2 linked regions of the Oryzias latipes genome follow. The protein of the gene in region 2 binds, or shares a complex with, the protein of the main gene of each other region. Links are inferred from orthologs where the notes say so. Each region holds a gene or a part of one and is shown on either strand. Other genes may lie near its edges.

Region 1 (4,601 bases), on a different chromosome or scaffold from region 2:
AGTCACTTTTTGACTGATGGACGGGGAGCTGAGAGGCTGTTACTTTTGTCCTTTTGTGAGACATGGTACATATTACAGAAATGTCTAAATAATGCTATTTAGATCCTTTAAAGTGAAGGATTGCTGCTGCAATTTCCATATGGTGAAAGTCCCTATATTTGTTTGAAACATGACTTTTTAATGTGTAGTTGTGGTTTTGCCATTTCTCTCCAACAGGGGTCTCGGTTATGTCATATATTGTAAGACCACAGCCCCAGACTAAAAAAAAAAATAGGATATGAAATCTCAATATGTTCAGGTCCTGTCTCAAATCAGAATTGGGGAGTAGGTTTATTTTTTATTATAAAAACAGAAAGAAAAACATTTTTTGAATAATTTATAAAGAATTTAGAAGACTGATATTATATTCAAAGTAAATAGAGTGTGCATCAGCAACCTCAAAGAGAGACTAAAGGACACAGTGGGGTTAAATGGTGTTTAGTCGGCTACCAATTGGTCAAGTTCTTCTACCTAAGAAGATGAGAGGCTGTCATTTTCATCATAGGTATACCTCAACTATGAGAAACAAAATTAGAAGAAAAAAAAAATCACATTTCTTGAGAATTTAATTGTAAATTATTGATTTTTTTCCTTCAATTTGTCTTTCATAGTTGAGGTATACCTATGATGAAAATGACAGGCTTCTCTCATCTTTTTAAGTGGGAGAGCTTGCACAATAGTAGCTGACTGAATACATTTTTGCCCCTACTGCAAATGTTTGCACTTTTTTAGAAGAATGTTAATATTTGCTTCATCTTTTGGTTGAGTGTGCAGACCTGCAGTCATCGGAACGATGTCCGCCCGCAGGAGGAAGCGCAGTCTTCCTGCTGCTTTGTTCCCAATCTTGATGTCCATGTAGACCTGTGGATTTACTCGGCTCTTTTTAGCCTGTGGCTCCCCCTGCAAAATCAGAAAAATGCATTTATCATATTTTTATTGCCTACACAAAGCCCTGCAAAAATGAATAAATAAATGAAAAATAGTCCTACAAATGTTTTTTTTTTTAACTTTATCTCTCAACCGTTATGGAAGTAATTTCTGCTCAAATGCTGTAAAGGATTTCTGATTCCCTTTGTTGTTCAAATGCGCCAAGACTTTCCAAATAAACCCACACACCCAGATAATTTACTCATTTAGTGCATTTAATAAGAAACCTGCTTCCTCCAGTGAATCAATTTTAATTCTAATTTTATTACTGTTATGCGAGTGATAAAGTTGGTTTCTCTAATTGGGAGAGTGGATCAATCAAACTAATCTAAATGAGGATTACTAAGAAAATGCAGATTTCTCTGGATTGTAAACACAAACCTGCTTTTTTGATGAGTCACGTTTTGATGTGTTTTTATATAAATTAGACAGATTTTCACTCCTGACATGACATTTCATCATTCACTGTACATTTTACACTCTTCATTTTTAGTCTTACACTGACGCAACAATATTTCACCAAAACCTGCTTTTCTCAGTGAAAAAATAAAATAAAGGCCCTCTAACGGGTCTGTACATTTAAATTTATTGAACTATACTCTAAAAATTAAGATTTAAAGAGAAAAAAAGATTGCTCATTTACTACATGTTTATGCAGTGACCTTATACCTTAAATATCTAGAATCTAATTCCCTGAATAAACTGAGTGTCCTGAAAACAAAACAAAAAGTTCTCACCTCCTGTGTTTTGCTGGGTGCCTCTCCTGCTGCTACCGCCTCAGCCTCGGCTTCCTCCAAGGTTTTCCCCGAAAACTTCTTCAGCCAGTCGTCATCCGACCACACTGAACACAAAAACAAGAGTTACAGGTCAAAACCACATCATAAAAAACAAAGCAGATTTTAAGAATCTTCTTCTATGATTACCTGGTCGAGAAGAACCCTCTTTGATTCTCATGGGCTTAGCGATGTTCACTCGGATAGTCCGTCCAAAAAGTTCAGACTCATTCTGGCAGCAAAAAAAAGCTACAATTTAAACCCAATCTTTTTAAAGAATAAGAAGAACTGTTAGTCACTTACCATGTTATCAATAGCTGCTGCTGCATCCTGAAGGAAAGACAGTGATGAGAAAGGGATGCATTCAAGAAAATAAAAGCTCACTTTTGTTAAAGATTCACCGATACAACTCTGGGTTATTTTCAAATTAATATGATCAAATCAAAGAGTTTGATTTGCACTTTAAAAAAAACAACAAATAAAAGTTTTTCTTGTTGGTTTGGTGAATCTATAACGTTTTTCAAGTGAATACCTTTTAAAAAATGAGTTTTCTGAATCCATCCTTTGTGCCATCAATAATTCAATTCAAAAGGAGAAAACTTTAAAAGCACAAACCTCTGCCAGCTCAAACTCAATGAACCCAAAGCCTCTGTGCTTTTCTAAAATGTAAGCACAAAAAATACTTAAATGATCAGGGTTTTTTTTTTGTTTTTTTGTTATATGATTATAAAATAAAACTTGATCTGACCTGTTTCATAATCCAGGGGTATCTGGATGTCTGTGATGTCTCCAAAGGGAATAAAGGCTGCGTGTAAAACCTTCTCATCCACCTCCTCCGCCAAACCACCTGGAGGAAGCAGCAGCGCAAACACTCAACACTCAATGCTTCATCTTCGTACTTTTGAATGAACACATCGTACATTAACCAGGATGTTAAAGTCGAAAACAGTGAGCTCTGTATGAGTTGGCTTAGCAGCATGTGATGGTTTCTATAAGACCGGAATACAACGTTGACTCGCCTTGGTTTTCCCCGCATAAATGGTAAAAAAAAGTTTTTATAGAAGGAATTAGCATAAAAGAGCTTTTAATTTCTGTTTTAGTTCAGAGTGGAGTGTAACTTGATCGGTCTGACATTCATAGTTAATTTAAAAAGTTATCATTACTTACCGACATACAGAACCCTTTTATTCGACGCCATATTGGATTCTAGATGTTGAACTTTAACCTCGGCCTCTGATTGGTGGAATCAAAAGGAAGCCCGCCTCTTCAACTATCCACAGCGCCCTCTATTGGTCATATTTAGGTCCAGCAACTGATCTATAGAGCCAATGACCGTCAATATGACTCTTTTCAAACACATTTGTGAAATGTGCCAGAGTTTTCAGATGAAAACAATCATATTTGTCGTTTTGGCTTTTTGTCTTTTTTGTTTTTTAAATGGAAATACCTAACTATGTTTTAAAAATAAAACAAAACAGCTCAGTGGTTTCAAATATAATATATACTTTATGTATCACAATAATTTTTGGACAGCTAAAATACACTAATGTTATGTAATTTTTGCTTTAGAGTTTTGTTGTTATAATGCTGCTAAATCCCTTTAAACTGTTTTTACTTTCAAATTATTTTTTATCTTATTGTTCCATAAATTTTCTGTATTTCTAAACTGATTTACTGTTGAGGGTTACCTGGCAGAGAAAGTGGGAAAAGGTTGAGAAGCACTGCTTTTAGTGACCCAGCAGTCCTCACCTTCTTCTTACGGAAACCCAACCATGTTTTAACTAAGGTTTTATACTTTTTATCTGAAACAAAACCCTAAGGGCACAATTTTACCCCACTCCCTTTGTAGCACTAGAGTTGTAAAGCACAATACATTGTGTTTCACTACAAACAATAACATTATAATTCACTGATGAAAGCTGTGTTTATGGCCGATTCAGAAGAACAGGTCAACAGCTAAAAAAGATCAACATTTTTAAATGTAAATTCTCACTTACAGAGAATTTTTGGTAGTTTGTTCCAAATGATACATCCAAACCATCCATTTCCCAAACCCATCGAATCTCGTTTGGTTTCACTCTGTTGCTGGAGCCTATCCCAGACACTGTTGGGCAAAAGGGGGGTGCACCCTGGACATGTCACCAGCCTGTCACAAGGCCACACACACTCACATTCACACCTAAGGGACAATTCAGAATTGAATCGGTTAGTTCAAAAGGGGCCCAAGTCCAAGAGGTTTTTTTTTCAGGAAATGATTTTAATTGCATAGCTTAAAGGGAGGCAACACCAAATGATTAATACTTTACCCAGATTTAGCACCAGCTCATAGCTTACAAATGCTATAATATGAAGCACCTCATTTTTATAATTTCAGAGGACTAGCAAACTAAAGTCTCTGGACTTGGGCACTTCTTGTATTAAACAGGGGCGTTGCCATATTGGATAACTAGTGCTGCCATCAATGGGATAAAACTAAACCCATACAATAGAGGCCCAAGTTCAGGAATTTTGCACTTAATGCATTTTAAATGTCAAGCATAGTCAATACATTACAACAGACTTGGGACTTTTTTGCACATAATCATATAGCTTTTCCCTTGAAGACCATAAAACATATAATATCTCTATTTTGAAAAATTGTGGACTTGGGCCCCTTTTGAACTAACCGATTGCCAAATCAATTGCCAACAAACCATGAAGCACATTTTTGGGCTATGGGAGGAAACTGAGAAAACCCAACCATGCACTGGGAGAACATGGAAACTCCACACAGAATAGTCACATCCAGAGTTGTCTTGAAGTGAGGCGAGTGCTAACCACTACACCACAGTGCAATTGGCACCTTCAAAACATTTAGATCAT
Region 2 (4,594 bases):
CTGTAAAAGTGTTAATAATCTAGAAAGAAAGTAAACGAAAGAAAACACAAAAAATTTGTATTTGTATTGTATTAAATAATAGGGAGTTTCATCTGAGGCTTTTTTTTCCCCACTATACACATCTCAAAAGATTCCACATCAACCAAGACTAATTGCTAAAGATGGCAATTAGTAATGTATGTTTACTATTTGCCCACATTGTAGATATGTGATGAAAAGCACCAATAAAAAGTTAAACTATTATGGCATGAAATTGGCTAGAGGAGTACAGGAGCCCAAAATTCACCTGCCGTGGAGTCCCCTCATACAGTTTTACTCTCTTGTGCCACTCGTGGACATTATGGGGGTTCTGCCTTAGGAGCACACTGTTGAGCAAAAGTGGTCGACGAGCTATGAGTTGCTCAAAGCGAGCCAGTCTAAGCTCCAGGTCTACGTCATCTATGGATGGAAAGATAAGAAAGAAGGTAAATCTTAATTGGGTGAATGCAAGTACTGTTGAAAACATGAAATAATAACGACAAACCCTCTTCATCCTGCCCCATCTCAGAATTGGTCTCCATCTTAGCAGCAATCATGCTCTCCTCAAACTGAGCATAACTATCAAAAACCTGTGTAAAGTCTCTTACAGTGACCACTGTAAGGATGGCTTCCTCATACACATCTCGAGCCTTAAAAACAAAAAAAAATAAAAAGGATGTTACATTAACATCTTCCAGTGAATTTTGCATGAAATATTGGAGCTATTAGGAGAAACAAACTTTCTCAAAGTGGCCACTCCTGATGTAATAGTCAGCCAAAGAGCACCAAAGTTTCCCCAGCTGGTCTGTGAAGCGAGTGAGACCTCCTCGGATGATAGCTCCCACATTTAGGGAGGTCACCTTATCAGGATTCTGGGAGATCAGGTCGCAGAGCTCGTGCCACAGCTGAACAAAACATAAAAAGAAAGGTTTAAATAACATGTTCATATTCAAATTGAATGATTGCCCGATAAGTCAATATATCTAAAGCTTACCTGATAGTTGGATTTGCCCTCTTTGGACACAAAGTTCTCATCATTGACGATTGCAGCTAGCCGTACAGCTGCTTCGTCCAAGCGACCAACAGTTCGCAAATACCCTATGTATTCTTCCGCATTCTCTGGAGACAGCTAATCGTAAAAAAAAAAAAAGAAAACCCATTTTGAATTATTTAAGGAACTGTTAGTGTGCATTTCTAGTTTTGAAAAACTTTACATGAAAATCAAATCAAACTTTATTTAAAAAAAAAGTGCTTCTTATGCCTTGCACAACTCAAAGCGCTTTACATTAAAAAAAAAAAAAAAAAACATACACAATATTACAATAAAAACCCAACCCACCCTTCCCACTCCCCTCTGTTAACACATAACACACGACCCCACACAATGAAAACTTATTAATGCAACTTCTTAAAGAAACTTTACTGCATTTGTCTGAATCTAAGAAAATGTGTATTTTCTTTGTGAATTTCTTTCCAACCTTAAGGTATCTGCGGTATACTCGGACAGCCGTCTCAGGCACGGGAAGATTATGGACAAAGCGGAGATACAAGGGCCAGATTCGTGGATGTTGAGTTACAGGAAGGGCTCTGAGAGCGCGGTCGAAAGTCCGCCGACTTCTTGTGATTTTACACTGCAACACGAGGAACTGGCAGTAATCGAGCCATATTCTAGGCATCTATATTCAGGAAAAAAAGGATAGATTATTAACCTTTGAAAGCAATCATTTCATCTTTTTTATTATTAATTTAGCATGTATGGACCATTACCTTGTGCATGAACACCAGAGCCCTCTCATGACAATTGTTGGCTTCCTCATAGGCTGGTTCAGTGATGCATTTCCCTTTAACCTGTTTCCGCCTCTCTCTCAGGTAATTATACCACAACTTATAGCTGAAAACAGAGAAAAAGTTAAGGCTTAAACCTTAAACAAGATCCGCTTTGTATATTTTCAGTTTTAGATTAAAGTAAAATAACCTATTTGTTTAAGAAATGTCGCTTTTAAATTTTAAAAGCTATTCAACTTTTTTCATTTAAGAAACATATCACTAAAACTCCTAACAAGTCAGGACAAACACAAGAATATAACTGGTACTGAATATAATCAAATCCCTTTACATGCCCTAGTTAAAATTACTTTTACTTTGGCCATTCTAAACGTATTTTTTCAAGTCTAATGTTTTAAATAAAAAGCTATTCTTAATAATATAGATGATGATGGAAAGCAGTTACCTTCCAGGTAGTTCCTTCAAAGCCCGCTCATATATCATGTTAAGGTTAGTTTTAAGTCCATTTTGTTTGAATTCAATGTAACGCATCCAACACTTAACAGAGTACGGATTCCTGATGATCTCCTCTTCGTAAGGCAGGTCATCATCTTCCTGATAAAAGAAACACAGAAAACATAGTGGACTCTTTTTAAAATGTGTTTTTATTTTATTTATTTGGAATTATTAACCATTCTCTTTAGAGCTTAAACTAACACGAACAACTGGTTTTCGTTTAACTACGACCTTTGATATTAAAAACATCTATATAAAAATTTGAAAACCACAAAATTACAAGGGCATGGATGGTTAAAACCCTGCAAATAGAGTTAACCTAAACACTGTAGCAGTTAGCATAAATCTCGAAAAGCAACGCCGAGACGCAGTGTGGTTAGCTACACGGAAAGTTAGAGTTGGCCAGAAAACACTCTTAAAAACAAAAAGATAAAATGATATACACCATAGAGTAACTTACAAAAATAACATCAGCTTTTCCGTTTAATGATGGCATTTCTACCAAGAATAAATGGCTTTTCTGGATATTTGTGATGCTAACTTTGGTAGGCTAGCTAGAAGACGCGGTGCGTGCGTTAGCTTGCGTAACTTCCTGTTCCTGGTCAATGAGTGCGCAGGCGCAAGAAAAGACTACATGTCTGCTGTTTGTAGTTTATATATTTATTTATTTATTTATTTATTTTTGATTTGTGAATATGAAATTTCCTTTTTTTATTGAACAATTGCAACATACAGAACCACAAAATGAAAAATTAACAACAATTACACTTCTGAATACAGACTAAACGTGTTACATTCTTAGAAAGATTCTAAATATTAATAAAACACACAAAAAATAAAAAATTAAAACAAAAAAATAAAAATAAATATATGAAAAAATAGATAAAATAAAAAGAGAAAATGCGAGAGTAAACTTATGTTATCATTCCAAAAGATTTACAAATGTTAATTGTTTTGTGAGCTTTTGTATTTTTTGAAGCTGAAATCAAGTTTAAATATTGCTGCAGTTCCAGTTTGAACACAAATAAATCAGGTTTTTTATTAGAAAATTTGCTTTTGTGAAAGTGAAATTTATCCATAAATAATAACATGTTTATGCAAAAGAAAGCAACTCGATCTTTGAGATCAAAGCTATGAAAACCAAATAGTATGTTTTTATAATAAAGTTGTAAATCAGCCAAAATAGAGTCGGAGATAAACTTGTTAAAGTTTTTCCAAAATTTGTATGTGAATTCACAAGACCAGAATAAATGGGCGCAGGTTTCAGGTTGTTTCTGGCAGAAAGTACAGTTAGTGTTTATGTCAGCTTTAAATTTAGTTAAATATTGTTTTGCTGGATTAAATCTGTGTAGAAGTTTAAAAGAGATTTCTTTGACTTTATTTGTTAAGAAGTATTTTTTGTGGTAAAGACCAGACTTTTTTCCATTCAATTTTAGAAGTGAAATTAGCCCAATAAGAGGTAGCCGATGGAACAAAAAACTAAATTATCTTGGAACAAAGCACTGATTTTTGAGTTCAACTGTTTAGCAGAAGTGAAGCAGAAACGACCCAGAGGGGACTTGAGCACATCAGGAGGATGAAAAGTCAGAGAATGAGCGCTGTAGAAACCCTTGAATAATATGCAAAGCCCGGACGGGACGGCATCAAACACTACTGCAAATTCTTTGGGAGTCATTGGTATTTTATACTGCATTGTGAAATCTGAGTAGTTATATAATAATCCAGGTTCTTTGAATAATTGATTGAGGAAAATTATACCATTATTAAACCAGTTACTTAAAAACAGAGTTTTCCTATTATAGACAATATTACAGTTGTTCCAAATAATACAACTCTGTGGAGAAAAGTTGTGTTTGTAGATCAGAGCCCAGGCTAAGAGAACCTGTTGATGAAAATTTGACAGTTTCAATGGGATTTTTGGAATATTGTAGTTACAGCATAGCAGGAAATTTTGTATTTGTATCTGTTTGTAGTTTAGTTGAATATAATTTATACCTAAAATCCATAAGAGCAATCAATTCACCCAAAGCGATAACAGTATATAAAATACTGAGCGATGTTCCCAGTATCTTTGACAGTTTAGTTTAGTCATCCCCCTTTATTTTGTACCAATATCAAACTCTGAAGTTGTGTTTTTTTGTTTTCTTTATGATTTTATATATATATATATATATATATATATATATATATATATATATATATATATATATATATATATATATATATATATACACACACCCAAGATTCCCTGCTTCCCATGAGTCCTAGGAGCTGAAGGCGGGGCTAACCCCTAGGT

What was found.
Region 1: xab2 (region 2) and ppie share a complex: the UniProt entries of both Homo sapiens proteins name them as parts of the XAB2 complex. The link is inferred for Oryzias latipes from reciprocal best matches to the Homo sapiens genes XAB2 and PPIE.

Annotation. Positions count from the first base shown.
Region 1 is NC_019880.2:16,796,411-16,801,011, forward strand, and holds the start of ppie (peptidyl-prolyl cis-trans isomerase E), read right to left. Parts: upstream 3,008-4,601; 5' UTR 2,938-3,007; coding exon 2,907-2,937; intron 2,587-2,906; coding exon 2,488-2,586; intron 2,399-2,487; coding exon 2,355-2,398; intron 2,070-2,354; coding exon 2,043-2,069; intron 1,972-2,042; coding exon 1,890-1,971; intron 1,808-1,889; coding exon 1,704-1,807; intron 940-1,703; coding exon 816-939; intron 1-815. UniProt on the Homo sapiens protein: Involved in pre-mRNA splicing as component of the spliceosome. Combines RNA-binding and PPIase activities.
Region 2 is NC_019866.2:8,755,312-8,759,905, forward strand, and holds the start of xab2 (pre-mRNA-splicing factor SYF1), read right to left. Parts: upstream 2,902-4,594; 5' UTR 2,795-2,901; coding exon 2,759-2,794; intron 2,398-2,758; coding exon 2,249-2,397; intron 1,910-2,248; coding exon 1,786-1,909; intron 1,695-1,785; coding exon 1,497-1,694; intron 1,148-1,496; coding exon 1,013-1,147; intron 924-1,012; coding exon 759-923; intron 669-758; coding exon 524-668; intron 439-523; coding exon 287-438; intron 20-286; coding exon 1-19. UniProt on the Homo sapiens protein: Involved in pre-mRNA splicing as component of the spliceosome. Involved in transcription-coupled repair (TCR), transcription and pre-mRNA splicing.